Elephas maximus indicus: one gene and its partners. The protein of the gene in region 3 purifies or fractionates together with the protein of the main gene of each other region. This does not show direct contact. Links are inferred from orthologs where the notes say so. Each region holds a gene or a part of one and is shown on either strand. Other genes may lie near its edges.

Evidence for each region.
Region 1: the proteins of protein POLR1D-like (region 3) and POLR3E purify together in Homo sapiens (affinity purification with mass spectrometry; 3 studies listed by BioGRID and IntAct, with this or other methods). This does not show direct contact. The link is inferred for Elephas maximus indicus from reciprocal best matches to the Homo sapiens genes POLR1D and POLR3E.
Region 2: the proteins of protein POLR1D-like (region 3) and POLR1E purify together in Homo sapiens (affinity purification with mass spectrometry; 3 studies listed by BioGRID and IntAct, with this or other methods). This does not show direct contact. The link is inferred for Elephas maximus indicus from reciprocal best matches to the Homo sapiens genes POLR1D and POLR1E.
Region 4: the proteins of protein POLR1D-like (region 3) and POLR3F purify together in Homo sapiens (affinity purification with mass spectrometry; 3 studies listed by BioGRID and IntAct, with this or other methods). This does not show direct contact. The link is inferred for Elephas maximus indicus from reciprocal best matches to the Homo sapiens genes POLR1D and POLR3F.

What each region holds. Positions count from the first base shown.
Region 1 is NC_064830.1:82,340,921-82,348,847, forward strand, and holds the start of POLR3E (DNA-directed RNA polymerase III subunit RPC5), read left to right. Parts: upstream 1-4,911; 5' UTR 4,912-5,049; intron 5,050-7,927. UniProt on the Homo sapiens protein: DNA-dependent RNA polymerase catalyzes the transcription of DNA into RNA using the four ribonucleoside triphosphates as substrates.
Region 2 is NC_064827.1:46,343,664-46,351,309, forward strand, and holds the start of POLR1E (DNA-directed RNA polymerase I subunit RPA49), read left to right. Parts: upstream 1-4,628; 5' UTR 4,629-4,710; coding exon 4,711-4,786; intron 4,787-5,316; coding exon 5,317-5,420; intron 5,421-6,662; coding exon 6,663-6,739; intron 6,740-7,646. UniProt on the Homo sapiens protein: Component of RNA polymerase I (Pol I), a DNA-dependent RNA polymerase which synthesizes ribosomal RNA precursors using the four ribonucleoside triphosphates as substrates.
Region 3 is NC_064841.1:59,713,433-59,720,891, reverse strand, and holds the start of protein POLR1D-like, read right to left. Parts: upstream 3,007-7,459; 5' UTR 2,948-3,006; coding exon 2,922-2,947; intron 1,926-2,921; coding exon of another isoform or gene 1,562-1,925; exon of another isoform or gene 1-1,561. Other genes in the region: POLR1D (DNA-directed RNA polymerases I and III subunit RPAC2), read right to left, coding at 1,562-1,925, 2,922-2,947.
Region 4 is NC_064843.1:59,142,028-59,149,557, reverse strand, and holds the start of POLR3F (DNA-directed RNA polymerase III subunit RPC6), read right to left. Parts: upstream 3,011-7,530; 5' UTR 2,784-3,010; coding exon 2,722-2,783; exon of another isoform or gene 2,383-2,721; intron 1,742-2,382; coding exon 1,624-1,741; intron 1-1,623. Other genes in the region: DZANK1 (double zinc ribbon and ankyrin repeat-containing protein 1), read left to right, coding at 5,069-5,177, 7,290-7,443. UniProt on the Homo sapiens protein: DNA-dependent RNA polymerase catalyzes the transcription of DNA into RNA using the four ribonucleoside triphosphates as substrates.

The DNA of each region.
Region 1 (7,927 bases), on a different chromosome or scaffold from region 3:
TCACTTGAGCTCTTACCAGCTGCTAAAGTTTTGGCCCCATGCAAGGAGGATCCTTTTATTACAATTGACAGATACCAGGTAGCACTAGCTTTCTCAGGAAAGGGGAACAGGGATGAATAGGGATGCCTCCAAGGGTGGGAATCCCACTGGACTTTGGGAAGAATCTTGAGCTGGAACCAGAAAACCATCAGGATTTCTCTGACTCTTTGCTCTTCTCACTTTATCATTTTCTCTTTTTCAATGCACTGACTTTTTCTCTACTTCTCCAACCTATGTCACAGAATATTTAAAAAATCCCCAAAACCAAACCTGTTGCCATCTAGTCAACTTGACTCATAATGACCACATCGGACAGAGTAGAACTGCCCCACAGGGTTTCCAGGGAACAGCTGGTAGATTCGAACTGCCATCCTTTTGATTAGCAGCTGAACTCTTAACCACTGTGCCACCAGGGTTCCACCACAAAATATGGCCACCCCAAACCTCCCCTTCTTCCTAGTTACAACCAGTCTCAGAGGCTAACTCCAACACTTAACACCTTCAAGTTAATAAATCAACAACTCACAATGTCTCAGTTCAGATTCTCAGAAGAAAATGTGATTGGTCCAACCTGAGTCCTAATAACCACCACACAACCCTCTTGCTATGGCTGTGGGGGCAAGCACGCTCAGCTGACATCCACTCTCTGGGCTGGTCGGGCAATTCCTAGAAAAGTGGTAATTGGGCAGATTCCAGCAATAGTCTTGCACTGAGAGGATCCAGTCCTAAAATACCATGACTAGATCAATGCTTCTATTGACTTCAAGGACTATTTCTCATTTAGCTTTGTACCAGTCACAATGCCTTGGCTGTGTCCTCCATCGATGGTTGCTTCTGTACTTTTTTTTTCTATTAATTCCTTCAAAAGCAACAAGCTGTCCCAGCACAATGAAATGTTTGCATGCCATTACTTATGTTAAAGGTAAATACAGAAATAAAAACCAGGCTAAGGAAGACTGGAAGAGGAGAGATATCAAATACCCAAATGTTAGGAGTGTTCGTGGCAATCTTCTTCCAAAAAAAAAAAATCAAACATTTAAAACCCTATGGAGCACAGCTATACTCTGACACTCATGGGGTTACCATGAGTCAGAATTAACTTGGTGACAAATGGTGGTGGTGGTCGCGGCCAACAGGATCATGGCCCTGAGAAGTCTAACATAGTCAACACAGAACTGGAATTCTATTTACAAAAGTGTGATTTATATGACTTTCTAGGGATGTGTCCAAGGCATCGCCAGCCTTGGCCTGCTTGGAATTGCTGCCTAATTTACCCGGTGAGTACTGGGCTAAACATTGACTTGACTTATTGTGTTGAGACAGGTGGTCGTGGCTGTTTGGGGTCTCCTGCCTTCTTACTAATTTAACTAATTGCTGTCGAATCAATTCCAACTGACAGTTACCCCATGTGTATCAGGTAGAATTGTGCTCGATTTCAGTGGTTAATTTTTCAGAAGCAGATTGCAAGGCCTTTCTTTTGAGGTGACTCTGGGTGGCCATTACAAAAGGTCCTTCTTTGTTTCTGGTAACAATTTTGTGTTAAAATCTGATTTTGCCTGACATTTTCTAGTATAGCCACTACAGCTTTTTTGCTTATGGTTTGATTGATACATCTTTTTCTGTCCTTTTAAGCTATTTGTGCCTTTGAATCTGAAATGTGTGTCTCTTATAGACAGCATATAGTGGGATCTTGTTTGTTTTGTTGTTATCCATTCTGCCAGTTTTGCCTTTTGTTTGGAATATTTAATCCATTTACATTTAGTTCATTTACATGCCTCTTGGAGAGGTTAAAGAATTTGTGCTCACTGTTTCCTTTGTCTGGAATGCTACGCTCTTCCCAAAGCTGGCACCTTCTCAAAATTCAGGACTCTGTTGACTGCCACCTCTTCAGAGAGACCTTCCACGACTACCCCTTCAAAAACAGTTCCCACCCCAATCACTCCACCATCATAATACTTTTTTGCTTCATAGCACTTATCATAATTTGATTTATCTTTTTTTAGTTTACTGGTGTGCTGTCAGTTTCTCCACTAGAATGCAATCTTCATGAGACAGGGGCTTTATTTGTTTTCTGTTGTATACCTAGAGCCCAGAACACACCTCAAATATAGTAGGAATTCAACGAATATGGGATGAATGAAGAAATGAACTTGCCCCAAATCATGCATCAAATAAGTGGAAGAGCCAGGACTCACACCCAGGCAGTCTGACTCTAGAGCCTGTGCTCTTAAATGTGGTCCCCTGCCAATGGCAGTGCCGTGGTTAAGCGCTTGGCTGCTAACAGAAAGGTGGGCGATTCAAACCCACCTAGCCCTGTTCCAAAGCAGAAAAGACCTGTTGATTGGTGATCTGCTTCTGTAAAGGTTACAGCCTTGGAAACCCTAAACGGTTCTACTCTGTCCTATAGGGTCACTTTGAGTTAGAATCCATGGCAATGTTGTTTTTTTTTGTCTGTCAATGGCAAGATTCATATATCAGCATTGCAATGGGGGGTGGGAGTGGTAGAAGGCGTATATCGTGACTTTCACCATCAAGGATGGATTCTGATTTCTACAGACCTAGGAGCAGGTTCTGGAAAGTGTACAGGGCTTTGAAGTCTCATAGATCTCAGACTGAATCCAGGCTGGGGCAGAGAAGAGAGGCCGAACTCAAAACCTCTAATATCATTGCCACAACTGTGCTGTCCTTAGCCCATTCTTCCTATCACTACATGTGTCTGCCACCAAGGCTGGAGAAGGAGCAAGCTGAACTAATTAATGGGGGAAGGAAGAGCCACCAATGGTAGAGGGAATGTATAGAGTAGGGAATAGTAAAGGGGGCAAAACTCAGATATGAGAGAAATTTCAGATTTTGTACACCAATAAATGTGAAAAATCAAGTGGAACGCTTTGTTTTCCAGGAAACTTACCAAAAAATGACTCAGGATAAGGTAGAAAATCTGGAAAGAAATGGAGAAAAAATCATTGAAGGTCATATAATTTGATAATATCTAACACAATGGAAAATATGCATATGATCCTGCAATTCCATTTCTGGTACTATATACTCTGGAAGAAACCCACCCACATACACAAGAAGCCATGTGCAAGAAACTTTACTGTGGTATTGTATGTGATGTGAAAATTTAGGAACAATTTAAATGTCCATATTCATAGCTTGGAATGAATTAAATCTATATGGATAATAATAGACCTCAAAAACATAATGTTGGAGTAAGAAAAGCAAGTTGCAGAATGATACTGGTACAATGTGGTGCCATTTATGAAAATGAAAACATACAGAAAATCATACTATATACTGTCCATGGAAAACCACACTGTATATTGTCCATGGAGCTTTTGTATATATAAAAACCCATTGCCATTGAGTCAATTCCAACTCATAGTGATGTATAGAACTGCCCCATAGGGTTTCCAAGGCACATCTGGTGGATTCAAACCACCAACTTTTTGGTTAGCAGCCATACCTCTTAACCACTCCACCACCAGGGTTTCCATGTATATATAATTTTATATACTCATAAAAGTATAAGATTAAGATGGACTGAAAGGATACGATGAAATTCATGATAAGAGATAGAGCTGGGGGCAGGGGAGGAAGTTTGGGATGAAGTGGAGGTCAAGGGGGGCTTTATGTTTATTGGTAATGGTCTAATATATTTTTGCATGAATTTTTAAGAGACAACATATTCGTATCATTACCTGTAACATTTAACCAAAAGCATATATGTAGAAAAAGATTTGGAAAGAAAAAATACCACAATATTAACAGTAACTACTTCCAGGTGGTTGTATGGAAATATGGTTGATTATTTTTTCTTTTACTCTTTTTGTATTCTGAAATATCTATATGCACCAACAATAGATAGATATTTAAAAATGCATAGTCTGGTTTTAAAAAAAGCCAATTGCAGATCAATTCGAATACTATTTATGTAAAATTTCATGCGCAATAAAAGCAAAGCTATTTTCTATGGATATATATACTTATTTATGTGTTTATGTATATATAAAATAGTTTTGTTTTTATTGTGTATGAAATTTTATAGATATGTATATGTAAATTTCCATATGAATGGATATATATATAGCCATATAAATTAACAGAAAACGAAATGGAAGGATATATATTTAATAATAATAATTACTTCAGCAGAGGGGATTAGGATGGGGGTCAAAAGTCAAAGGGCATTTAAACCTTATGTACAAAGGTTTAATATTTTGCGATAATTCACGTACTATTTGTGTAATTAAAAATTAAAATACAAAATTTTTCAGGAACAACCGCCCAGACCACGTCCCCTGGTTTGCCCATTAGAGCCTCCAGTTCGGGTTACTGCCAGGAGTACCTTTTCTTCCGAGACACGTAACTAGCGTCGTGCGGGTTACGCCTAGGTTCCCCGTCCGAGTTAGCTGAGCATGTAGACCCTTAAACTCTTTTCCGCCCTAAAACCTATTTGGAACAAGTACAGGTCTAAATACCAGAGCAAATATTTTTTTTAAAAAGACGTAGCATGTTGTAAATAATTATATTGGGCTCAGATACAACGCATATTAAATGAAAATATAAAAATATGTAACGATTTCGAGAACACAAAACACATTCGAACATAATAAGTAGTATTCCGGAGACACCACACGCTATCTAGGTAGCGTGGCCGAGCGGTCTAAGGCGCTGGATTAAGGCTCCAGTCTCTTCGGGGGCGTGGGTTCGAATCCCACCGCTGCCAGCTGAGTCTTTTGTTCCTTTAGCACACGGCTTCGTTTTGCGCACGCGTCAGCGCCACCTTCCGTATGAATGGAGCGGCGGAGGGGCGGGTCTGCGCGCATCGGGGCGGGGCATTGTGGGTAAGAGGAAGCGCGGAGTCCGCCCAGCTCCCCCCACGTGTCCGCCGGAGTTTCTCCATCAGCAACATGGCTGCTGCCTGATAGAGAGCCGGGTAGCCACCGCCTCTGCAGCCCGCGGGTACCTGGGCCGTTGCCGCCGTCCGCGTGCGGCCCCCGCGGAGAGGTGAGTCCTGAGTTTGCTGCACCCGGACCTGGGCTTGAACCGGGTGCACTCTCGAGGTAGGCCTGGCCTGAGCTCCGGAGTAGGCCGAGGAGGCCCGGGCAGTGCCATGCCATGCCCAGGGTCGGGGTCCTTTCGCGACCCGGGCGACGAGGACCGACAGCCTGCCCCAGAAACCAAGGCCAGCCGCGGGCTCCGACCCCTCGGCGCGGCCCGGGAGTAGGGGAGACCAATGCCGAGACTGTCGGCGGTGACTCAGGGACCAGTTGCCTTACTCCGCCCGGGTCGGGCCGGTTTCCTCCAGGAGCCCCCGTCCGCAGGGAGCCGGTGTCCGGCCGGCTTGTCGGCTAGAAGCAATGGCTACTTGGGGGGCGTGAGAAGGGGACTTGCCTACCCATGAGGGAGGCGACACCCATTGGACAGTGTGTCTCGGGACCGGGCGGCCGGCCCTGATGGATGCGTGAGAGGGTACCCCGAGCCTTCCCGGGCCCCTTCCTCGCACCTGAAACAGATTAACCGCTGCCGAACCAGGCCCGGAATTCTTCATCCATTTATTCAGGCTTCTCGACGGCACTGGGTTTTTGGGTTATTTATTGAGAGCCAACTATGCTGCAGATACGACCCTGACCATTTGATCAAAGTAGGTGACAGGAAGCACAAGTAAACCAGTAAATAAACAAGGTCGTTGTGGCCTGTTAGTTTTAGAATTGGGTTTGGGGGCAGGAAGAAGAGATCTTAGCAACCTCCACGGTTTCCTTGTCCGTGAAATGGGCATCATAGAAATTTCTACCTCCTAGGGTTGTGAGGACTAAATAGGGTAAGACAGGTAAACCTTCTGTATGCAGGACTTGATTTGTGGCTAAGTATCAGACCCTCTGACATTGGGAGAAAACATGTTGCCAAATAATAACAAACCTTTCCAGAGGTTACATTTATTACCTTACTTATTCCTCACTGCAGCCCTCTGGAGGAAGGCACTTTTATTATCCCCATCTTCGGTCTGAAAATAGCGAGGGAAAGCCAAATTAGACCGTTCACAGAATGACACCGGCTGGCAACGAGCAGAGGTGGGATTTGAACTTACGTAGATCCAGGTTGAGAGTCCAGGCTCTTACCCACAACGCTATACTTCCTATTGTTGGAGTAATGTCTAGCATAGTGGTTAAGAATAAGAAGCTTTGACATCAGCTAGTTTCCTATTCTGGCTGTGCTGCTCTCTGCAACCGTGACCTTGGGGAAATTAGTCTCTGAACTTCAATATTCCTTCTTAAATGTGAATGTTAAGTCTTGACTCACAGGTTTGTTGAGAAGATTAAATGAGAATATATGTAAAGTCCTTAGAGAAGGGCCTGGCACCTGATAAACGCTGGGTTAATTACTCCTTCTACCTAGGCCAGGCCAACTCATCTTTTACAGAGGTGGAAACCTAGGTAACTCAGAGAGGGGAGATACCTTGTCAAAGGATACACAGCCAGTTAGAAGCTGGTAAGAAGCCAGGCATTGTGTCTACTGGCCCTGGGGCCCTTTCCCCTTAACCCTTATGTGCCCAATGCTACATATAGTGACCATCAACATTTGCAGCTTCTGGGGTTTATTGGGAACCTGCTGTATTATTGATAGTGTGTGCTGTCACAAGGCAGGGACCTTTATGACTGCTTGAAATTGAAGAAATGGGTGTGTGCTGCACATTACTGTTTTTACAGGGTATTGAATGAGGTGTCTAAGTTTTGGGTAGAAAAAAGAGAAACTTTGAAAAATTTTATTTGTTACACATATGTACCAGTAGGCCCCAGTGGGGACTCTGGGGTATAACTAGTGTACTTTATATGTACCACTAAACACTTAGGGCAGGCTTGTGGGACGGGGCAAGAAAAAAAAAAATCCATACTACTGACCAAAAATTCAGATACACTCAATGATACAGCATGTTTCCATCAATGAAAACGCAGGGTATTAACAAAAAATTCAAAGCAGAAAGTAACTGGGTCACCAAAGGGTTAACTCCATTATATTTTGTCACCACCACCCCTACTCCCTTCATCCATCAGCTAGTGATTATTTGGAGTTTCCTCTGCTTTTCTGATTGACTGACAGGTTAGATTCCTGGGTGCAGTGTGGGTGTACCCCGCCATAGCCTTCAAGTACCTCCTCTGCTCTAGGGCCCTCCTTAGCTTCACCTGGTTGTCCTGGTCCCTTTTGCATTTGTTGAGTAGCTCCCTGTTGGGGTCAGAGGCTATTCTAGTTTCCTTTGCCCAAGCCCATGGAGCCGCTGCCAGAGAGTGCCCTTGTGGCCACAGGACACCCCACTGAACCCGAGGTGGTCACAGATTTACTGCTTCTGTGAGAGCTTGGCTTGTGGTGGCTGGAAATCCTACCTCCCTCCTACTGCTAGTAAGCATCAGAGGTGGGATTTGAACCTGTGTGCTCTACTGCAGTTCAGTTCACCTGTCTGTACTCAAGTGCCCATGATGCCCAAACCATGAGGCTGCCATTTCTGGATGGGGCCTAGTTAGGCTCACTGGGTTGACAGTCTGTGGCTGCTTGCTTTCATGCGTTCAGCTCACTCGGTTATTCTTTGTACTATATTGAATGTCTACTCTATGCCAGGCACTGTTCTAAGTACTAGGAGAATAGCAGTGAATTGGGGGAAGGGAGGAAGCAACAACAACAAACAAAAAACCCAGCAATAACTCAGTGAAGTTATATTTGAGGAAACCGAAGCACTGCGAGGCCCTCGTGGAACTTACATTCTCGTGCATAAGACAGGCAACACATAAGCCAACAGACCAAACCAAACCCATGGCCATCGAGTCGATTTTGACTCATAGCAACCCTATAGGACAGAGTGGAACTGCCCCATATGGTTTCCAAGGAGCGCCTG
Region 2 (7,646 bases), on a different chromosome or scaffold from region 3:
TAAGTTCCCAAGTCAAATTTTCAAACAAACATTTTGTAAAAATTCTGCCCATATTCCATGGTTTTGTATACTCAAGCTTTAACTGGAATTTCCTCACTGGCAATGGGTTTGGTTTACCTTACTAATCTAGAGGAGACCCCCCATAGATTTTTGCATTTTGGATCACTGGCTAAATAGAGCTCCCTCCACCCTGCCTCAACCCTGCCTCAACCCGGTTATGTATGCATATATATGTGTATGTGTGTGTATATATATATATGTATATATGGTGTATGTGTTTTAATGATTGTTAAACAATAAAGTGGTATACCACAATTCCCTCGTCAGCTACCTCACCATTAATTCTTTCCTTCCTCTGATCGAATCTGTCATTTTGAAATCCTGCCTGTGGTAATTCTGGAATCTTTGCTCTCAGTAGGTGTGTGGTACTTTTCACTCTTCCACCCATCTACAAAGCAGCCAATTCTGAGAGCTTTCACAAACTTGCTCTGACTGACAAAGATGTGCTTTAAAAGGGGAACAACATGGCGCTGGGTGTTTTTGTTTAACATGGTACAACCAAACCCATTGCCATACAGTTGATTCTCACTAATAGCGACCCTATAGAACAGAGTAGAACTGCCCCACAGGGTCTCTAAGGAGCGGCAGGTGGATTCAAACTGCTGACCTTTTGCTTAGCAGCCAAGCTCTTAAGCACTGCCACCACCAGGGCTCCATATTGTACAACAGTGGTTCCCAAACCCTAAATGCACAGGAGTCACCTGTGCAATCTTGTTAAAGTGCAGATTAATTCTGCGTTTCTAACAAGCTTCCAGGTGATGCAAATGCTGCTGGTCTATGAGCCACACTTTGAGTAGCAAGGCCATAGACCGCGACCCTATATAAGGAGAGGCCAGGGCACTTCTCTCAAGAATGACATTTGACTTTGTGTAGCCACTCCCGCCTCTTTGTCATCCCATAACTATGATTTAACTGTTCATGTGGTCATTCAACCCATCAACACTTACAGAGAATCTGCTATCTGCAAACCCTCTGCCAATTCATTTCAACCAACATCTTTGAGTTCCGGTCCTTGTGTGAGGCTCTCAGGATTAATCACGATTAAGACCCTTTCCTTTCTGTCACACATTCAACATTAACTGAGGGTCTACTCTGTGCCAGGCACTGGTCCAGGAGCTGCAGCTACAGCAGCGAACAAACAGGCATAAATCTTTTTATTGCTTAACCCCCAAATTATTTTTATTGTTTTAGTATTTATTGTTAACCCCAAATAAATTTAGCGAGGGAACAATCAGGTGGGAAACAGGCAAATAATTAGAACTAAGCTTATTTTTTCCTCTTCTTCCCTCACTGCGCCCCCCCCCCCCCCAATAAATCTAAAAGCCATCAAGAGGAGTCAAGCAAAGGTAGATTTCCACTCAGAGCAGAAGGAGAGCCTGCAGTGGTCTAGAACAGGGGTGCTGGAGCCTAAGGAGTGTGAAAAGGCATCCATGTGGAAGGGTGGCCAGGTAAAGAGTGTCTGAGCCCAGCTAGGTGTCTCAGTTATCTAGTGTTACTATGAAAGAAATACGACAAGTGGATGGCTTTAACAAACAGAAATCTATTCTCTCATAGTTTAGGAGGCTAGAAGTCTGAATTCAGGGTGCCAGCTCCAAGGGAAGGCTTTCTCTCTCTGTTGGCTCTGGGTGAAGGTCCTTGTCATCAATCTTCCCGTGAGTCTAGTACCTTCTCAGCACAGGGACCCCAGGTCCGAAGGATGTACTCCACTCCAGGCTCTTCTTTCTTGGTGGTTTCTTGCTCATTTCTCTCTTTTGTATCTCATAAGAGATTGACTCAAGATACAAACTAATCCTGTAGATTGTATCCTGCCTAATTAACATAACTGCTTTTAATCCTGCCTCATTATCATAGAGGTTAGGATTATCAACACATAGGTTAATTATATCAGATCACAAAACAAAGGACAACCTCACAATACTGGAAATCATGGCCTAGCCAAGTTGACGCACATTTTTGGGGGACACAATTCAATCTGTGGCACTGGGCAGGGGTGCAGCTTGGCTGGGGTTATCAGAGTCTGAGCAAAGTGAAGAGGGGATTCATGCAGGTGGTGGAATGGCGTTGGTAATGGCCCAGTACAGGGTGTTAGAGCCTGAATGAAGTAAGAAGGGCATCCATGTCAGGTGGTGGTGGTGGTCATGGTGGTGGCAGGAGATGATTACTTACAGAGGATTGATCAAATAAGTGAATGTATTAAGGCTAACTGGAACCAGGTTTCTCAGCGTGAGAGAAAAAAACAAAAACAAAAAACCATTGCCGTCAGGTCGATTGCGACTCATAGTGAACCTATAGGACAGAGTAGAACTGCCCATAGAGTTTCCAAGGAGCACCTGGTGAATTTGAATGGCTGACCTTTTGGTTAGCAGCTGTAGCTCTTAACCACTATGCCAAGGGAGTTACAAATATGAGACGAAAGAAAACTAGAATGAACCCTTGTGGTGTTGGATTAGAATCAGAGGTCAGTGTGAACTCATGATTTTCAGTATATATATACAGATCTAGAAATAAATACAGTTGTAAGCATTAATACATGTATTTCCTAATTTGGCCAACCAAGAGGGCCTGGGAGCAGTGGCATGCCAAAAGCAAAATATATCTAACACACAGATCTTTGTTTCTAAATTCTATTTCTCAGCAAAAATGTCTTAGAGAAATTTCTTACGGCAAAAATTTCTTAGAGAAATAGCTGATTGCAGGGTTGGGGCAGGGAAAGTACAAGATGAACTGGGATACTTTGTTGTGCCAGGAGGTAGGGATATGCTCTAAAACTGATGGGGCATGTCAAAAGGACACAGCAGGCAACTCGAAGGGATTTCCAATGGCACGATCTGGAAACATTTCAACACAGAAACAAATAATGATAACAGCAGATTTTAATCTACTGAATAAGATAGGAACCAACAAGTCCAAACTGACATAAATTAATAAACTGAAAATGTGATGAATGAGACACTTGCATAGTCAGTCTCTAAGTACCTTCCACAAAATACTAACTACAAAGGGACAAAGAATAACTTCGTGGTGGAGATGTCTGGTTGACACTACCTTAATCAAGTGATCAAAGTTAGTATCACTAGTAATGGAGTAAATCGAAATTATGTGCCACCTGATAGAATACAAGAAGAACACAAATAGTTCTGCCAAAGATGTATAATCTGAAACTAATCATTTGGAAACATTAGATCATTTAGAAACCCAGAGGGAAGTTTTACAAATCACTGGCCTGTGATCATTAAAATGGTCAAAGTTATGAAAGTCAAAGAAAGACTGAGCAACTGTTTCAGATTATAAGAGACTAAAGAGCTATAACAACTAAATGCACCACGTGATTGTGGACAGGATCCTTTCCCTACGAACAAAGTTAGTGCGACCAATGGTTAATTTACATGGAGTGTGAGGATTACATGGAAGTAATGCATCCATGTTAATTGTCTGGTTTTGATGACTGCATTGTATTTAGGGAATGTGTTTGTCAGTAGGAAATACTATACAGTCTTCAGAGGCAATGGAATTCAGGTTGGCAGCTTACTCTAAAATGATCAGGGCAAAAAAAAAAAATTACTCATACTTGCTCGCAATATTTCTGTAAATTTGCGATTGGGTCATTATAAAAATGTGGCAACTGCTCAGGTAAAGGGAAGCTGAAGTGCTAGGTTTTTTTTGGAGGAGATTGGGTGTCTGTGTAGGGGGTGACAGGGGTGCTAGGGACGGCTTCTTAAGGCTGAAACCTGAACATAGTCTTGAAAGAAGGCGCTTTGGAGAACCGAGAAGAGCCAATCCGAGTTCTTGCCCTTCAACAGTACCGTCTTTTGACTGGCAAGAGGAACCCCTGGCCTGGGTCCATGCTTTAGAGGCCCTGCTCTGGTAACTTCCCTCGGGGAGCGGGGTGGAATCCTCAGGGCCAAGGGGACATGCCCATCAGGTCCACCTCCCCTCTTAGGACACAACCAAGAATTCCCTGCCCAAAAGCTCTGAGCCTGTTCGCATTTCCCCCTGATCCTAGTGTATGCTCTCCTAGCTCATGGGGGAGGTGCTGGCGGGGTTGTGGACGCAGCTTGGACTAAAGGACTGGGAGCCCACATGTGTAGATGGCAACTCTTAGAGAGTGGGTAGCTCTCCGCCAGCTGCCACATTTAGTTGTAGCTGGAGGAGGTCCAGTAGGAGAATCCTAAGTTTGAACCTAGTTTTTCAGGTCTCAGGAAGATATATTTGTCAATGTAGAAGAAATAGATCATACTTTATCCAGACCATGCTGAGCAGCTGGAAACCAAACACGAAGCACAGACTGAAGCTGCAGACGTTTGGGCGCCCTCAGCCCTAGTCCCACAAAACCAGTATAGTGCAGGGGTACGGTGTGCCGGAGACCACACCTGTCAGCGCCGAGCTGCTGCGCTGAGTGGCCGGGGCAGCACGCCGAGCTGCTGCGCTGAGTGGCCGGGGCAGCGCGCCGACACGCTCCGGGGAGGAGCGTGCAGGGGGGAGGGCGATGTCAGGAGGGGGCGGAAACACGCGTCTCCGAGCGCGCGGGGCGGTGCCTCACGAGGCCACGCCCTTCCGGTTCGGCGCACTAGGCGGGATACCACGTGTGACCTAATGCACCCGGTAGTCCAGGCTAGTTCAGCTTCGAGTTGTGGCCGCTAGAGGGGCGAGATGGCGGCGGAGGTGTTGCCGAGTGCGAGGTGGCTGTACTGTGGGGAGCCCGACGGTAGCCAGAGAGCTGTACTCGGTAAAGACTGCGGAGCTGGAGCGGAGTTCCCTTTATCCCACTTCCGTCTCTTGGTACCTCTCCAGTCTCCCGCGCCCCGCCTGGCCCCCCTCCCACCTGGGCCAGTATCCCTCTAGTCTCTACTCATTGGGGCTCATTCAGGGCTTCAACGTCATCCTGCCACCCTGTCACCACTCCCAGCTGGATGGGGACATCCCTGCCACACCCTCCCCAGGGCCGTGCCCAGGACCCTTTAGTCCCCTCATCCACCATCTCTCCTATCTGCCCCATTTCCCTCTCTCCTCTGGGTAGAGAGCCCCTTTGTTTTTCTAGAACTGGACCAGACCTCCTCTGTAACCTCTATCCTCCCAGTCATTCCCTCCTGTCACAGGCTCTCCCGGGGGCTCCTCTCACCTGTTCATCCCTTCTCAACTGGGTCAGGACTTCCTTCCCCATCTCCATTCTTCGAATCACTTCCAGTGACTCCCCGTTTCCTCTTCACATACACTGTGGGTCCCCTTCTCATTCTGCTCTTGGCTGCAACCTTACAGTCCAGTTCTCCAATGGAAAGCTGCAGAATCCAGGCAACATGCACTTTACCTTGTACAAGAATAAAGACTCCACAAACCCCAGGAAGAGGAGTCAGCGAATCTTAGTAAGTCATGGTTGCCAATTACCTCCACTCTGCAGACCTCAGGAGGTCCCTTGGGTGTGGGTGGCTGTGAAGGGAGTGAGGGAGGAAAAAAGGGGGGCAGCAAATGGGCCTTTAAAGAACTATTCCTCCCCCCGCCCCACAGCTGGTGTGGGGCAGGCTTGGCCATCCAGGTTTGGAACTTTTGGAGAAGTGATGACGGTTAATTCATTTGTTAATTCAACAAGCATTTACTGAGCACCTGCCGTGGCCCTGTGCTGTAACCTGTTGGGGGTAAAGCCAAACTAGACCTGGTGCCGCTCTGAGGGAGCTCATACTCTAGAACAGGGTTTCTCAACTGCAGCACTATTGACATTTGGGGCCAGATAATCCTTTGTTGTGGGCAGCTGTCCTGTGCATCACAGGATATTTAGCAGCATTCCTGGTCTCTACCCACTAGATGCCAGTAATACTCTTCCCCGCCCCCAACCCCCAGTTGTGACAATCAAAAATGTCAAACATTGCCAAATGTCCCACTGGGGTGGGGGACAAAATTGTCCTGGGTTGAGAGCCTCTGCTCTGGAGGGAGAGGTGAGAATTGGATGTGAGGGACACTCATACAAGTAGACAAAGCTCAAGGCCTAAGGGAGAGAGTACAGGGCAGAGTGAGCTCAGAAAGGGGAGAACTCTCTGCTTGCCAGAATGCCTTTTTGGAAGAGGGTTCACTGGAGCTGAGCCCTGAAGGATGGGGGTAGGAGAGACTGTCAGGTGAGATTTGATATTCCAGGTGAAGAGGATAGCAAGAACTAGTGCTTGACTGTGATTGGGGTGTGAATTAACCATTTCCGTGGTCCTAAGAGTACGTAAAGAGTAGTCATGGTAGAAGTGAACAAAAAGGATAAAAGAGAATTTGGATTCCAGGCCAAGGAGGTTGCCTGCAGAATCACCTTGTTGCATGCCTATGTATATGTGTTGGGAGCCCAGGGCCTTTCCCCCAAGTCCTGTGGTGCACCTCGGCCAGGAACCTTTAATATGGTTAGAACTCAGCACCTTCTGGGGCTTACCTTTCAAAAGTCCTCTTGCCCTTTCCCCAGGGGTACCCCAGATTCACTTAGAGATAGTGGGGCTGTACCACCTCCCAGTGGCTCTCTAGTTCTAATCCACTGTGGTTCTGCATTCTAAAGCTTTTGCAAATGTATAAAAAGGAGACAAGATACTTAGTACCTTTTGACATTAAGTGGAGCTTTTTTCCCTTCTATATTTTAGGCAGCTGAAACAGACAGACTTTCCTATGTGGGGAACAATTTTGGGACCGGAGCCCTCAAATGCAACACTTTGTGCAGGTAGTGATGGGGACGGGCAGCATTAAAGGTAATGGGGAGGGTAGAGGTGGTGCCACTGGCATTTTTGTTATCAGTCTTTATCATAGGGGCAGTGGGAGAACGTAGGGAGGTTAACAAGTCCCTGTGTTCCTGGACCCAGGGATCCTCATACCAGCCTGTTAATATTCCTGAAAAAGAGAGATGACTTCTATTTGTTAAAAATTCTTAAACCGTGTTAATTTGTAATATTCTTTATATCTGTCTTATTCCAATTGACAGCTGTCTCTACAAATTTGGAATGTGTGATTAGTAGACCAGACCTTGCCTGAAGTTTGCCTTGGAACTAACTACAAGAAAAGGATTTAGTAGTGTTGAAGGCTCTGGGCTGGGAAGGAGGGGCCCAGGGTTTCCATCTAGCTCCGTGGTAGTTGACTGAGCGACACTGGAGAACTCTGCCTTTCACTGACCCTTGTCCTCCCTCTCTGTACAGTGAAGATTGTCCAGCTGAAACAGGCTACAATTCTCAGGGGCTGGCATAATGCAGATGGGGTCCCTGTGATGCTACCCAACCCATAAAAAAACCTGTTGCCGTCGAGTCGATTCCTATTCATAGCGACCCTATAGAACAGTAGGACTGCCCCATAGAGTTTCCAAGGAGCGCCTATTGGATTTCAACTGCCAGCCTTTTGGTTAGCATCTATAGTTCTTAACCACTACGCCTCCAGGGTTTCCTTACAGTGAACCACAAACAAGGCCCTGTCTGAACTCCCACTAGACCACATCCTGATACAAGTCAGATTAATGCACATATGCTTAAAAGTATTAACACGCTGCATCCCCTCACAAAGATTCTCTAATTCAGAGTGGTCTTCTCCCCATAATCAGTATGGTTTTACTCATATGTGCCTCCGTAAAATTTATACATGCA
Region 3 (7,459 bases):
GCAATGTGATCACGAGTTAGTATACCAGGAAGACAGACAAATAAAAGCACTAACAGTAGCACAATAAACATTAAGACAAGGAAACATAGGGTGTAATGAAAGCACTTAAGCACCCAAACTAGGATGGGGAGTCTGATGTGTAAGTTTTGACCTAGAGTACGGAGGGACTAAGTGTTCCAGGAAGCGGAACAACATAAAGGCCCCAAAGAGCACTGCGGCGGGGGAGGGGGGGATGGAGGCTAGAGTGCTTGGGTCCAAGGGTTGACATGTATTTAGGGTCAATGAAGAGTCGAGCTGGGCGGGGGTGGGACAGGCACAAGAGACAAACTGAAGAGGTAGACAGGACAGATTTTGGATGGGATTCACTAATATTTCAAGTTTTCTGGAAAAGTTATTTTCCCTAGACAGAATTTTCCTTCTTACTTTCTCTTGAACGATGCTTTTTCTACGTAAACCTGAGTTATTCTTAGAGACCTATCTAAGAACTGAAAAGGTTACCTAGACATTTCAGTTTTCTCTTCCTTGGAAACCCTGGTGGCATAGTGATTGAGTTCAGCTGCTAATCAAAAGGTTGGCAGTTTGAATCCACCAGATGCTCCTCGGAAACTCTGGGGTACTTCTACTCTGTCCTATAGGGTCACTATGAGTTGGAGGTGACTAAACAGTAATGAGTTTAGTTTGATATAATAAAAACCTTTTGGCCAACTTAGGTCATTTTCTTTTTTTTATGGTAAATATATATGTAACAACACATTTGCCTTTTCAACATTCTTCAGTGTACAATTCAGTGACATTATTTATGTTTATCCTGTTGTTCAACCACCACCATTATTCATTTCCAAATTCTCCTATCACTTTTATACTTAGGGCATTTCTGACTAAATATTTTATCAGTATCCTGAAATTCAAGCAAGAAACTGGCATCTATTCTATAAGAGCTCCCACAAAGATGGAGCCTGACACCACCTAAAACTCTCATGGGAAAGCAAAACTCATAAAATTCTTTCAAATTATCCCCCAACCTTGCCCAATACTGCAAAGGCTGCAATTCTCTAAATATATATATATACACACATACATATCTATATATATATATCTATCAAGAAACCAAATTTTCCTTTCCTTTCCTTTTTTTCAATCAACCAGTCTATCTGGGGCTATGTTCTACTGCCCTTCCTCCTCCAAATCACAGCCATGAATGTGTACTCCTTTTAAGTCCTATGATCAAAGTCCTTGTCTAAGGCCTGGTTTCCTTATAGTTTCCTCACTATCAGTACTGGCTCAGCTAAAAGAAAAAGAAAATTCATCCTTGGGTATCATTTGGCTACAAATAACAGAAACCACTCAAACCAGTTTAAATAAGAGGGAATTTATTCAAAAGAATACAAAAATACTTGCAGGGAATCCAACAGCTGCAATGGGTCAATAGCTAGAAGCACACCTTTCTGAAGGCTAGATCATGCTTTAATCACACAATTCTACTTCTGGGTTGTGCATGATCGTGAAGAAAATATCCTAGAGTATCCTTGTCATATGGTGCATAAGGGGCTAGAATGTAGACTCATTTCTGATTGCCTTTTTGGTCCTTATAGTCCTTTATGCTTGCCTCAAACTTGTCAAGCACATGTTGGCAGACACTCATGAGCTCATTCAGGCCTCTCTGAAACAGCTCAACGGCTGGAAGACCACCTCGTGTCTGAATGCGTAAATTGATTTTGCTCTCTGAAGGATGGGTCGTAGTGTAACCACAAAATTCCACTTCTGGGTTCTTCATGATCATGTAACGAAGAGAATTTCCTAGGGTATGGTCCTCTTCGTGCAATACAAATGTCACACAGTGTCTATCTGTTCCAGCTGCCTGGACCATTTCCAGGGCAGTCTTCCTCTCGCCTTCAGCCACTGAGGTCTTCGATCCTTGTGTTTTTCTACACACACATTTTTTATAAAAATGAGATCATACTGAATAGTTTTCATGACTAGCTTTTTTTCATTTACCAATCACAATTACAACACATTTTTACTCTAATCCACTCCAACCACACAGAACTATTTATTTGTCTCTTATTTTCCTGCCTCGGCAAATTCATTTAACCAATATTTAAATTACTGCCTCCAGTTTCTCCCTACTCCATTTGACCCTCCATAGGGACACAAGGAGAGCCTTCTTAAGGCACAAGCATAAATGTTTGCTAAAATATTATTTTGGTAGAGTCACAAGAAAGAGATAAGATTAGAATAGGGTGGGCCCTGCTGGAGGATGAAGAGGGCACCGAAAGTGATAGGAAAAAAAATACTGCTTAAGTGTAAATGTCAGATTTAAGTCCACAGATTATCGACATGCAGGCCCAGCTATGGCTTCCATTTGCAAGAGGTAAGGAAACTAGAGGAATGGAAGGTCTGAGAATAGTCAAGCAGGAGGGAGAAAAAGAACTCAGCACATAGAGAAGTGGCTTTACTAACAGTCTGCACAGAGAAGCTCGGGAGCAGTAAACACAGGACTTGCTTGGGTCTGTGCGAACACCCCAATACCATCCACTCGGGAACAGTGGCCTGGTGCGGAATGTCACCCGTTAGTTTTATTTATTCCTGCTGTTCTAAGGCGGGAGGAGCAGCTCGGGGGCTTTGCTCTGGTCTCATAACTTGTCTCCCCTCCTTGATAGCTACCAGTCTACGGAGCGTGTCCATTCAAGCCATCCATGTCTCTCACCCTCTCTCTCTTCCCCATGGCGGGCCCCCTCTCCACCCAGGCGTCCACGTCTATCCCCCTTTCCTCTCTTCTCGGAGCCCCGGGTCAGGCCCATCCTGCCAGGCCGGGCGCGGAGGCCGAGGCCCCGGCCTGGCCGCGCGCCTCCTGCCACCGGCTCTCCGGCCCGAGCGCAGCCCGCTCCTCCTGCCCGCTCGCCCGCCTCTTGGGCCGTTACCTCTCCAGCTCCTGGTCGTCCTCCATCGCGGCGGCAGGTTCCGGGCTCCTCAGGCGGTGCTGGCGGACCGGAGGCTCTGCCCCATACCGCGCAACGTGCAGGCGAAGCAGGAAGGAAAGACCGACGGAAGGAGGGGAGACGGAAGGAGAGAGGAGGAGCCGCTTCGGCGCGGCAGGGCCCGGCCGCTGGGCGGAGCTTAGAGGCTCCGCCCCGGCCCCGCCCCCGGCGCGAGGGGGGCGAAGGCGCGAGGCCCGCCCTGCTCACCTGGTGCTCCCCCGGCAGCCTGTCCGCAGAGCGGGAGGGGCGGAGAGGTGGGGTCCGGCGAAGGCCTTACAGTGAGGCCGGATACAGGCCGGTGTATGCCGGAGCTCAGCCCTGGGCACCTTCCCCCAGGTGAGGGCCAAGGGGGCGGGGCCTCACCTGCCGCCCCCTAATCACCTTTCTTAAGAGTCAGGCCTCTTTCTGTCTTGCTGTTAGACCCATGAGGATAGTGTTGCTCCCAGGCTGGCCCCTCCCGGCACCCCAACCCTCAAGGGGCTTTCATGGGACGACCCTAGGAGCACTCAGCGGGTACTGAGGTCTCTGTAGATCGCATTAAGTTTATCAATACACTTTTTAAGAAAGGAAGGAGGTAATGTGGAAAGAGAAGAATTTCAAACAAAATGGTTTCAGACAGTATTTGTCTCGTCGGAGATCTTGCAGTTGCACAACGTCTCGATTAGGCCAAAGGACACGCGTTTGCCTTTATCTTGGGGGAGTGAGAGTTTGCAAGAAAACTGGTTTTCCCCCTTTCTACCCCTAGAATACGTCCATCCCCGCTTTGGGCTTCTTTCCTCCCTTATCCTTTTGGCTCCTTAAACAACCTCACCTGCGGAACCTCCCTCTCACCTTTGTTCCCAGGTGCCCTGCCCCCGCCTCTGCAACCTTTCACCACCCGGAATCGGAGCTCTCCGCCCGCTTTCTTCCTTCGTTTCGCGTCTCTTCGTCCGCTCAGGTGCTCTTGTTCGTCAATAACCGGTTCTCCCTTCCCACTCTTCCGCTCCCAGCACCTCCCTTGCCCCCCGTCAGGCCCTGTCCACACCCCAGCTGTCCTCTCCCAGCACACCTACATTTCTTTTTCCTGCACCACCTGTTCTTGCCTCCCTCCAGATTTCCCTATATTTCCATCTCTCCCCCAGCTGTCCCATTCTCCTTGCGGCACTCGGGCATCGGGGACTCGTGCTGAGACACTTCCCGACCGCGTCTTTAGCAGGGAAATCAGGCAGGCGGCGGGGACAACCCTGACGCGGTGGGGGAGGGACGGCGGCGAGCGGGCTCACTCTAACCCGTGAGTGACGGCCCCTTCCTGACCCGCCCCCGGCGCACTCGGATAGGTGGAGCCGCCGTCTGGCCCGCCCCTTCCCCGCCCTGGGCGGCCGTGGATTGGCCCCGGTGCGTGTCAGGTTGGGCGATTCGGCCCCGGCGCTCGCCCCCGGGAAGACAGCAGGGGCGGTTGAGAAGTGAAGTCTTGGCCAGAGTTTGGTTCTTGCCAGGAAATCCGCGGCGGCGGCTGGAGGCAGCGGCCACGGCGGCGATTCCCGGCGAAGCGGCGCCGGGCTCGCTTCCCGCTCCTTCCGCGGGCTGCGGAGAGCGGGAGCCAGCGCGGGGCTGAGGCGCCGGGAGCTGAGCGCGCCGGACAGCCGTGCTTCCCAGTAAGTAACTTTGCCCGCCGCCGCGTCCGCTCTCTCAGGTGCCAGCGCGCTTGGCGCGGGCGGGAGGCTCGCGTGCAGGGAGCTGCGGGAGCCGCCGCACCGGGAACGGCGCCCAGCCTCCCCTCCCGGCGCGCCCCTCGCCGGCGGCGCTCTGGCTGCCTGGTGGAGCCGCGCCCTCCGCGGGTCTGCTCCCTCGCTCGCCCGGTAGCGGAGGGGACCTGGGCCGCACTTGCCGGCCCCTCGAGCGGACCCGGCGTGGGGGCCGGCCGCGCTTGTCCGGGACGGAAGTCCGAATGCCCTGCGGCGGTGCCGGCTGGAGCGGCGGGCGGCCCCGGGCTGGTCCCCTTGGGTGGTTTCGGCCGCTGCGTTACTGATCTCGGCGTCGTTTGCTTTTTTTAGGGAGGGGAGAGGTGGGGGTGAGCTTTTTATTTCCCGTACCTGTGCTATAGGGGAGGATGAGAGTGGTACGAGCTGCCTTCGCATCCGATCTGGTTCCCCTGGAAAGGGAGAGACAGGGAGAGCGCATACCCCTGTCCCAGCCTGTTGCCTGTTCTCTTCTTACCTTTCGGTTTAGGCTGCAGGGGGTGGGAGAACGATTTGCCATCTTCGAGGTGGGAATTTCAAAGTACAGATCTTGATTTGGAAGCAGCTGCGTGCAAAGCACGGTTTAGGAAATACACCACTCATTTTTCGAAGCTTTTTTCCACGTTTTAAGCCAAGGACTTTTGACCTCTATGTAGGGTTTCTTATGGTGTTTCAGTTTGTATTAAAGGTTGTACATCCTGATGTTCACATCTTCCAGAAGCTAAAGTCAGTTCCTGTATGGGGCTTCACTGTGTAGGTTATTCTTTTGAAATCACAGAGATCAGAGACGAGGTGAGATCAAGTGCAGTGGCAGTTCTGCAGGGGAAAACAGTTGGGAACTATGTATTATTGGCACTGCCTTCACTTTAAGAATTCCGTATTCTTGCATCAATAGTACTTAATGTAAATTGGCCTTCGTCCCAGGATAGATTTTCATTTGTCTCTTGCATGTGCTGTGACTAAGTGCTGATGGAGCTGGATCTCAGTAGATCAATTTTATTTATTTTGGTAGATTTGATTCCAACCCTCATTCCTCCCCCACTTTGGAAAATGTACTTTGGCAAGTAAAGAAGGAAGAGGGGAATCTGGTATCTTCTTTGGTTTGTCAGAGCTTTGTTGAGCCATGAGTAACAACGTTTTGCCTTTTTAGTTGGTCCAAGTCACAAATGTGCATTTTCCCAGAGGGGTCAAATGTAGGCCAAATCTGAACCAAAGTAGAATAACCCATTTGTAATTCAGCCCACTGATGTGCTCACATTCCTAATTTTGTATCTCATTCCTCTCCTTTTCTCATCAAGTTAGAAATTTTTCATTCTTTCTTCAGTTATCAAAGGATGGCATACTACTGCATGCCACGTGTTGATGGCCAGGGGCAGCCTTGCCCTGGAGTTGCTCACAGTCTCATTTGGAAGCTGATACAGACCAGTGTTCTATTAGTTATCTGAAGGTAATTTGAACATAGTGGTGCAGAAACTCAGAAGAGGGAGCAAATTCTGTCTGGTTGGGTTAGGATTTTGCCAACTATATTCTAGGCAGAGGAACTAACATATATGCCACTTGCAAATACTTGTATCTTTGGGGTGTTGCTATATGAAGCCTGCATATGGTCAGTCTGGCTGAAGGACAGTGTCTGGGTTTCAGGTAGTAGCCCCTGGCTGGTACGTTACTCTTTTTGGAGCAGTTAGCACTTTGCATTGCTCACAGTGGGCGGTCAAATACTTCGTAAACTGATTTTAACAGAAACATGAAGCATTTTGTAAACCAAATTAAAAAATTTGGACTTTATTCAGTCAGTGATACAGAGCTGCTAATGTTAATTTGGACAGTGTCATGATAACATTTCCATACCCAGAAAGATACAGGTTTTCCCTGCTATTCCAAAGAAGAGTGTTCCTGTGAAACCTTTTGTAAGCTAAAATGGCATAAAGCAAAGAAGCAATTACCTTTAACTTCTATGGAAAATTTTTTGCACATTCCCAGACCCAAAAAATAACCTACCAAATCATACCAAATAACATATAAAGCCTAAAATAACACTAACATGTAGTAAAAGCAGGAATGATATGACAAGTACACTGCCTGTATAAAGTAGAAATAATGTATGGTGTAGTTTCACTTAGCAGAATCGGGAAGACAGTGAACATACCGGAAGGCTGAGAGGTGGTGGTGGTGATGGTAGAAGCCCCTGTAACCTGGTTATGGCTACTTGATGCTGAGTGTAGTTCCCAGGGAAGGAGTTGGTGACGCCACTCTCACTGCTCAGAATACACGCTACCTCTGTAAGGGTTTGCTGCAAAACAAACACCGAAAGCTATTTCTGCTTTTTGCCTTTTTTTTTTTTTTTCATGAAAGCGAAAATCCTCTTCTGATTTCTTTCGGTTAGCGAAAACAGGTACTAACGTAGGTCTTTCATAAAAGCAAACTGGCATAAAGGGAACTTTAGAAAAGTGGGGCATTCCTGTATCTCTGCCATAGCCTAGAGGATGGTGAGGATCTGGATGGGACATAGAAAGCACAGTAGGAGGCTGTTACAGGAAGTTCCAGCCTCAGAGCTCCTCATTCTGGACCCAAATGGCCCGGATTTAAATTTGGCTCTGTCACTAACTATGTAACCTCTTTGTTCATTAGTTTCTTCATCTCATAGGACTTGGGGGATAAAACTTGATCAAACATGTGCATTCCCTAGCCCCTAGCATAGGGCTTAGCACATAGTAAACCTGTTGTCATCGAGTCGATTTCGACTCACAGCGACCCTATAGGACA
Region 4 (7,530 bases), on a different chromosome or scaffold from region 3:
TGGGCTTCCTAGCTCATGGAGCAAGAAAGCTGAGTGCCTCTGGGTACTTAGTGAAGCTAGTGATTTTGGACCGAGGCTTACTGGTAGAGTGCGGTGCCTTTGTGCACTTATCTGCAGAGCTAAAAGAGCTTTGTAACATTTGCCTGAGCAGAACAGAGGCCGAGGGGCCAGAGAGAGGCGTGCCTGTGGGCATGGCTAAGAAAACGTTGTCCTGATGAAAGAACTGTATTCTGAGCATTCCTGAACCTGAATTGTAACCTGTTACTTCCTTAATAAACCCCATAATTTTGAGTATTATCTGTGAGTTCTGTGGGCCACCGCAATGAATTGTTGAACTCAGCAGAGAAGTAAAAAGTGCTGTGGGAGGGACAGTTGGTATCACAATTGGCAAAGATGGCAGAGACAGAAGACATGTCTGACCTCTGCCTCATAAGAATCAGCCTTGGGCTCAACACCTTGATTCTCCTTCCCCCTTGTGAAATTAGAGGAGGTTGTGGCAGTGGGAAATGTTCTTTTTGTCCTTTGATCACCCTCTCAGCTCTTTCCTTCCTGAGAATGATCCTTAGCACCTTCCTGTCTTTCGCCATCTCTGCAGCCCCCATCCACTGCCACAACCTCCCAGAAGCTCTCCCTCTACCTTTCCTGGAGCTGAAGACCTTCATGGAGAATTGACTAAAAATACCAACATTCCTCTTCCCTTGGGCTAGAACTTGTAATTACAGTTTAACTGGGATACTGCCATATGCATTTGTTTATGATTTATCCATGGCTACTTGCTAAAACCATAGAATCAGTAGTTGTGACAGAAACCACACGGCCCACAGAGTTTAAAATATTTACTGTCTGGCACTTTACAGAAAAAGTTTGTCCACCCTTGAAGTAGAAGGTTGAAGGGACTGATTTAACAGAAGGCTCACCTGTCTCCATATCCACAGTCCTTAAAAATCCAATAAAAATGCTCGCAGGAAATGGGAGTTTTGATGATAGAAAAATGGGAGAAGAAACAGGTAGACTTAGAGCACTGGGTACTAGTAGGTGGGGTGATTCTGGACAGTTGGAGGAGAGCAGCATTAGGGTCCCAGGTTCTTAAGGAGGACAGAAAAAGAGGTAAGGGCAGGGAGAAGGGCTTTACTGAAACAACCCTCTGCTACCTCACTGGAGCCTGAGGCAGCACTTCTTTCCAAAGGCTCAAGACTACTGAGATGCAACTGGGCTCATTTCTGTTTCCTGAAATGCCCAGGGTAAGATTGATACCCTGATGAACTGGCTCTGTGAAAGCTGGAAGGAAGGGCCCAACAATAGGAGTAAGAAGCAGACAGAAGGTGAGCACAGACTATTATGCTTTCACGTCCTTATGTACCTTAGTGACGATTAGATTAAAAAATACAATAGTTAAAAAAAAAATAACAAAGTACTACTTATTTTCATTCCTCTTGTAACCCCTCCCCAAAAAATAACCTATAATTTCTTCTTCCCTCACTTTAGGTAGCCTGTGCTGTTTTACGGTTTGTAGTTGTATCAGTTACAACCGAACACACCTTCTGATTTTATGGCTACATAACAGGAAGTATTGACAACCATGACAGGTAAGTAATTACATGCATGAGTTTGAATTCATCTTACCATGGACAACAGTCTATTGATGGCCACTGCCCGCTGCTGGGCTTCTATATGAGGCATTTCATTCTGAATTACTTGGTCTGTGATTCCATGAGGGAACTGGTGACATAACTCTATAATCCTAGGAACAAAGGCGTTAATGATATTATGCATGTTTGCCTGTTTCAAGAGGCAGGAGGGGAAATACAAGCAGGATGGTTTGAAATTGTCCTTTTTTTTTTCCCACTTTTGGCAGATAATCTGTTTCTATAATGATTCCAAATCAAATCATGTAAGAAATTCAGACACATGCTTTCTAAATACACATTTACATTATTGTTGTTGTTTAAGGGGAGTACTTCTTTCCCTCACTTATTTCAACTTTAAAATAGAATGAAAGTTAAATGAAAACACGGGGGGAAAAAAAAGCTGAGGCTTCAATTTTCTCAGATGGAATAACTGTGACAAAATTAAGTTGTAGTGCATTCGATAGCCATAAGCCTGTAAAGAGAAGGCAACTCCAGACACTTGTGGTGGGAAGCCAAAACTTGTTATGGCATCGTACCATAACTGTGAACTATTTGGGGGATTATCCTTACCAAACAAACGTAAACCCAAATCTTAACTTCATCACAGGCTCATCACATCTGTGTTATATATAACCGTTTGGGAAAGTTGAGGGTCTTATGAAACTATAAAATCTAAAAACAGCAGTGCGCTGCCAGAGAATGTAAAACTAGGACAGACTTTAGGTGTCCTGAGATCTTAAGTTCAATAACGCACCGAAGTAATCACAAAGTGCAGCCCTCGCTGCGCTCGAACGTTCTGCTCCGGGAGTTCCCTTAGTGACAAGACAGATCCTGGATCGGTGCACGTATCCCCAAGCATTACAGCCGAACCCAGAGGGTGTCCTTTCTGGCACTGATCACCGTAACGTAGGAAGGAAGGCATCATCCCAACTTCGCAAACAGCATCAGGGCAAAGTCAGCTACACAGAGTTGCAAGCTGTCAAGCTCGTTTTGAACTTAAGAGTTCTGGTATCCGGGGCGGGAGGGGAGGGTCCAGACCCCCGCAAGCCCCTTCACGTGTGCTCATGGATCCCGGAACCTAGACTTGCTTTACCTGTTTTCTATTTCGACCGGATCCGCGTCGGGCGGCTGCACCTTCACCTTCACCTCAGCCATGAGGGAGCAGATCCGGGCCCGTGCGGGGAAGACGAGCACTGAGTCGCCGAAGAAAACGCCCACGAACCCGGGGACCGACGGTGGACAGCTCCCCGCCGGGGGACAAGGGGCCTTCTTCCTCGTGTCGCAGCCAGTCCTTGCTCGTCGGTCGGCTTTAGGCGGCCAAGTCACGCCTGCGCCGCCTCGCTCGCCGGCGCCTCTACGTTTGTTACGCTCTGCTTGCTTTACCGAATGGTCATGCCTGTCGGACGAACGAGACTGGTTCCTCCATTCTACGTGGCGACATCAGCTTTTAGCACTTTCCAGCCTCCGTGAAGGCATATACCCGGACGCCTAAGTAAAGCCCCGGCAAAGGCGCGGGAGGGGCGCACCCCGTGGAGGCCCCGCTGCGGGGGCGGAGCTGGTTACTAGGGAGCGAGCTTTCCGCCAATCACCTGCCTCGCTCTCAGTGGGCGGGGCGCGGCTTGCGGCGTCGGTGGTAACCCGGGTCGCCGCCGCGGAGCGGGAGCGAGGAGGTGAGAGAGCAGAGACGGGCTGGGGGCGGTGGAGGTCCCTCGGTGGGGCCCGAACGGGGGCTGGGTGGCCCGAGGAGGAGGAGGAGCAGGAGGACCTTCCTCACTCCCGCCGAAAGGATGCGGGCGTCCTCGGCTGCAGCTGACGGACGGGGGCGGGGACCTTGCAGGGTACTGGATCCGGGCGGCGAGGGAGTTGGGTGTTGGGTGCTGTTGACTCAGCGCTGCTGTTTGGGTTTCGCTGGTCGGCGTCCTTTTGGGTCTCTTTCACGTGGGGCCTGCTGGGCGCCCCAGCCTCCCAAGGGCAGCTGCTGTGGCGGCACGCGAATGACTTCCTCTCGAACTAGTTGTATTTTGAACTGATTTCTCAACTATTTTTATTTTAACTGCATCTTACTTGAATGGAAATATGGTGATGGGCAAGCCCCGCAAGCCCTGCAGCACTTCTGTAGGGACTATTACTCTGCTGTCAATATCTGCGGTTTAAATTCTTGGCCTCCAACCTGGAGCATTAAGTTCACCCTTAAATTTATTTATCCCACTTTTGGTAATAGAGCCTGTGTCAAAACTTGGGCTACAAAGATATTCAGAGCAGCTTCCGCAACCACCAGAAGTAAAAAGCAACTAAAAATAGCCTAAATGCCTAACCACAAATTGATAAATAAGTTTACATAAGGACACAGAAAACTGAATAATCAACTGAGGGTGCAAGAAGTGGGCTGTAAAAATTGAATGAATATATAGATTATAATCGAATATATAAATTATAATCAAGTAATCTGGATGTAGCCACAATCATTGAATTTTCAGAAGGCATTGCATAGCTGTAGATGGTTGCTGTGATATGGAGATTGGTTTTATCTTCTGAAACCTCATTTTTTAAAAATTATGACACTTTCCCCTAGGAAAAAGATCAGTAAGGCTTCCATATTTGTAGCTAGTACAATAGACGGAATGGAAGATTGTGTTTGTTGGTAACCGTTAATATCCATGCCAAGTTCCTTTCAGCTTATACTCTACAGTCCTTCTAAAGTTTCCTTACAGCTTTGAAGTGCAAGAACCACTGTGGTGACAACTGTAGCGCTAAAGACCTGGCTTTTCCCAAGGAGTTGGTTCTAAATTAACATTTCGTGCTACATACAGATTTAATTTCTGTTCCTCTGCTGTGATGACTCGTCCCAAAGCTGAGAGAGGTTGTACACTTACAGGAGGCTGGAACAGGTGATGATGATCAAGTGGGAACTCAGGGCAGATCATTAGTGATGGTCTCTGTTCTGCCTGATTCCTTTAATTTGCGCATCCCTCGGTCCTGTTGATTCGTGTTCTTTTCCCAGAAGTGAGGTGAGTGTTCAGATAATCAAAGCTCCACACAAGACTTCAACAGCAAAAATACAGCTGAAGCGTAATAACTACTTCAATTGAAAATTGACTAATATTTGTAGGAGAGACATGGTTAAATCCCTCAGCTGCTAACTGAAGACTGGTGGTTCGACAAAGAAGGGCCTGGTGGTCTACTTCTGAAAACTCTGTAGAGCACAGTTCTACCCTGACACACACTGGGTCCCCATGGTTTGGAATTGACCTGATGGCAACTGGTTCAATATTTGTATTAACAGTAGTCTCTGTTTCTCTCTCTCTCTCTCTCTTTTTTTTTTTTGTTACTAGTTATGCTGCACTCTAAATGAAGTGCTTTTCTTCCACTTTTTTGTTCAAATATAGATACACGTTGGAATTTACTTTTATCCACTTTCTTTTTTTAAAGTAAGGAAAAAAATGACTGCTGGTTCAGTGTGTGTCCCTCAGATCATACCACTGCGAGTGCCTCCGCCCGGAAAAGCCAAACATGAAATTGATAACAATACACTTTTGGAAATGAAATCGGGTAGGAATCAAATGTATTTGAAATCATTTAAAATAACATTGTCATACTCTTTACACTTACCTGGTTCTTCACTTACTTCTTTGCATGCTCTCTATAGTCAGTACCTTGGGAAATTTGTAAATCTTCCAAAATTTGGAACAGTGTGATATTTTGATAGCTAATAGAGTCATGTATACTTAGATTAAAATAGTTGGCTTTGACCAACCTTTCTTTGGGGTAAGTACATGTTGCAGCTATGCCTCAGCTTACCTCAGCTAAGGTAAGATGTCCCAGTCGAACCCCAAACTTTCCCAGGATGCCCATTATTTTGCTAGAATAATAAATTTGACCTGCTTGCAATTTAGACATGTTGGGGACTGACCCCTGGCATGACAGTTTCTAATGACCTTAGACACATTACTTAGCCATTCTCAGTCTCAGCTTCTTCCCTGTAAGATATGGATAATGACATCTACCAGTTAGAGCTGCTGTGAAGATTAAATGAGTTGAAATATACGTGAGATGCACAAGGCCTGGCACGTAGTGATGCCAAAATAAATCTTAAATATTATTATAGAAATAAAGTGGCAAATATATTTCCTGGTAATATTTAGTCTTCAGGCTCTTTCTGCACACGCACACACAAACAATTAACATAAGGAAAAGGGAAAGTTTTATAGATAAAACGTGGACGAATGCCCTTATTAAAAAGTCTTCGAAATTCCAACTGTATATTTTAATAGCTGAAACATATAAAAACTTTTTATCTGTATTTATGTTATAAGCCCTGTGCTTCCTAGACCTAGAGTTGCAGTTAACAATATGCTACATTATACTATGTCCGGCTTTATTTCAAAGGCTAATGTGATTTTTTAAAATTCTCAAGCAAAAATAAAACTTCAATATATATGCATGTAAGTCTTAGGAGAAGTGGAGTGGTTGTTGATAAATGATGATAAGAATGATAAGGTATCCAAATGTTCTAATATTGAAAAGTTCTAATAAACAAAACATTTCCACAATTCAATAACAAAAAGAAGAATAACCCAATAGGAAAATGGGCAAAGGATGTGAAAAGACATTTTATAGGAAAGAACATATAGGTGCCTCTTAAGCATATGAAAAGATACTTCTACACATCTCTTCACCTGCTTTCTGAGTAGACCTTGTCCCCCTTACCTTCCTTCATAGCATTTATTCACCGCCTGACAGTATGCATTGTTTGTTGGTTTATTGTTTGTGTGTCTCTCCTAGAACGGTGCCTGGCACATACTAGGTACTCAGCAAATATTTGTTGAATGAATGAATGAATCTTACTCAATATACGAGAATTGTGAGTTAAAACTACAAGATACTACTTTTTGTTGTTTGCCTAGGAGATTGGTAAAAAGAAAAATCGATAACACTATTTGGGTGGACTGTGGGTAAGCAGGCACTTCCATGCATTTCCCGTGGGAATGTAATTGTTTCCTCCTCAGTGGAGGGCAGTTTGGTGATATTAATCAAAGTTGCAAATGCACATATCTTTGGACCCTGCAGTACTACTTCCGCATATTTGTTTTACAGCTGTGCTTACAAAAGGAGCTCTTTACAAGGATATTCGTTATAATTCTTGTAATGGCCAGAAGAAAGAAAAGAAAAAGAAAGCCTAAATGAGGGTTGATTAATTTATAGTTCTTTCATACAAGAGAATATGGTGCAGCCATACAAAAGCATGAGGAGGCCCTTTATGTGCCCATATAGAACAATATCCAAGGTATAATCTAAAATGAAAAATGAAGTGTGTGGAACAGGATGTGGTGTGCCACAATTGGTGTAAAAAGAGAGTGAGAAGTAAGAATATGTACATATATACTGATGCGCACTTGGGGATACTCAAGATATCATTTGAATCATATGAATTTATTATCTTTAAAATTTTTCCCCAAAAAATGTAGGAATCATTTACCAAGTCCAAATAAAACATAACAAAGTACAATGCATGGAATAGAGGAAGAATTTAATTATTGTTACTCATTTTTATAATATAAATAATAGATGTATAAATTTTCCATAAATAACTGACGTATAGGCATACCTCAGGGACTGGCTACTTTTGAACCAATTACAGTTATCCTGTTTTATATTTTTCAGACACCCCAGATGTCAACATATATTATACCCTGGATGGCAGCAAACCTGAATTTCTAAAGAGAATCGGTTACGGTGAAAATAATACATATAAGTATACAAAACCTATTACTTTGCCTGATGGAAAAATACAAGTTAAAGCTATTGCAGTTTCTAAGTAAGTCAATAACAGTGATTAAATGACTTTTTAGCATAATGGAATGACATTATGTTTTAATTTTACTTATTTCTTCCTATGAAAATC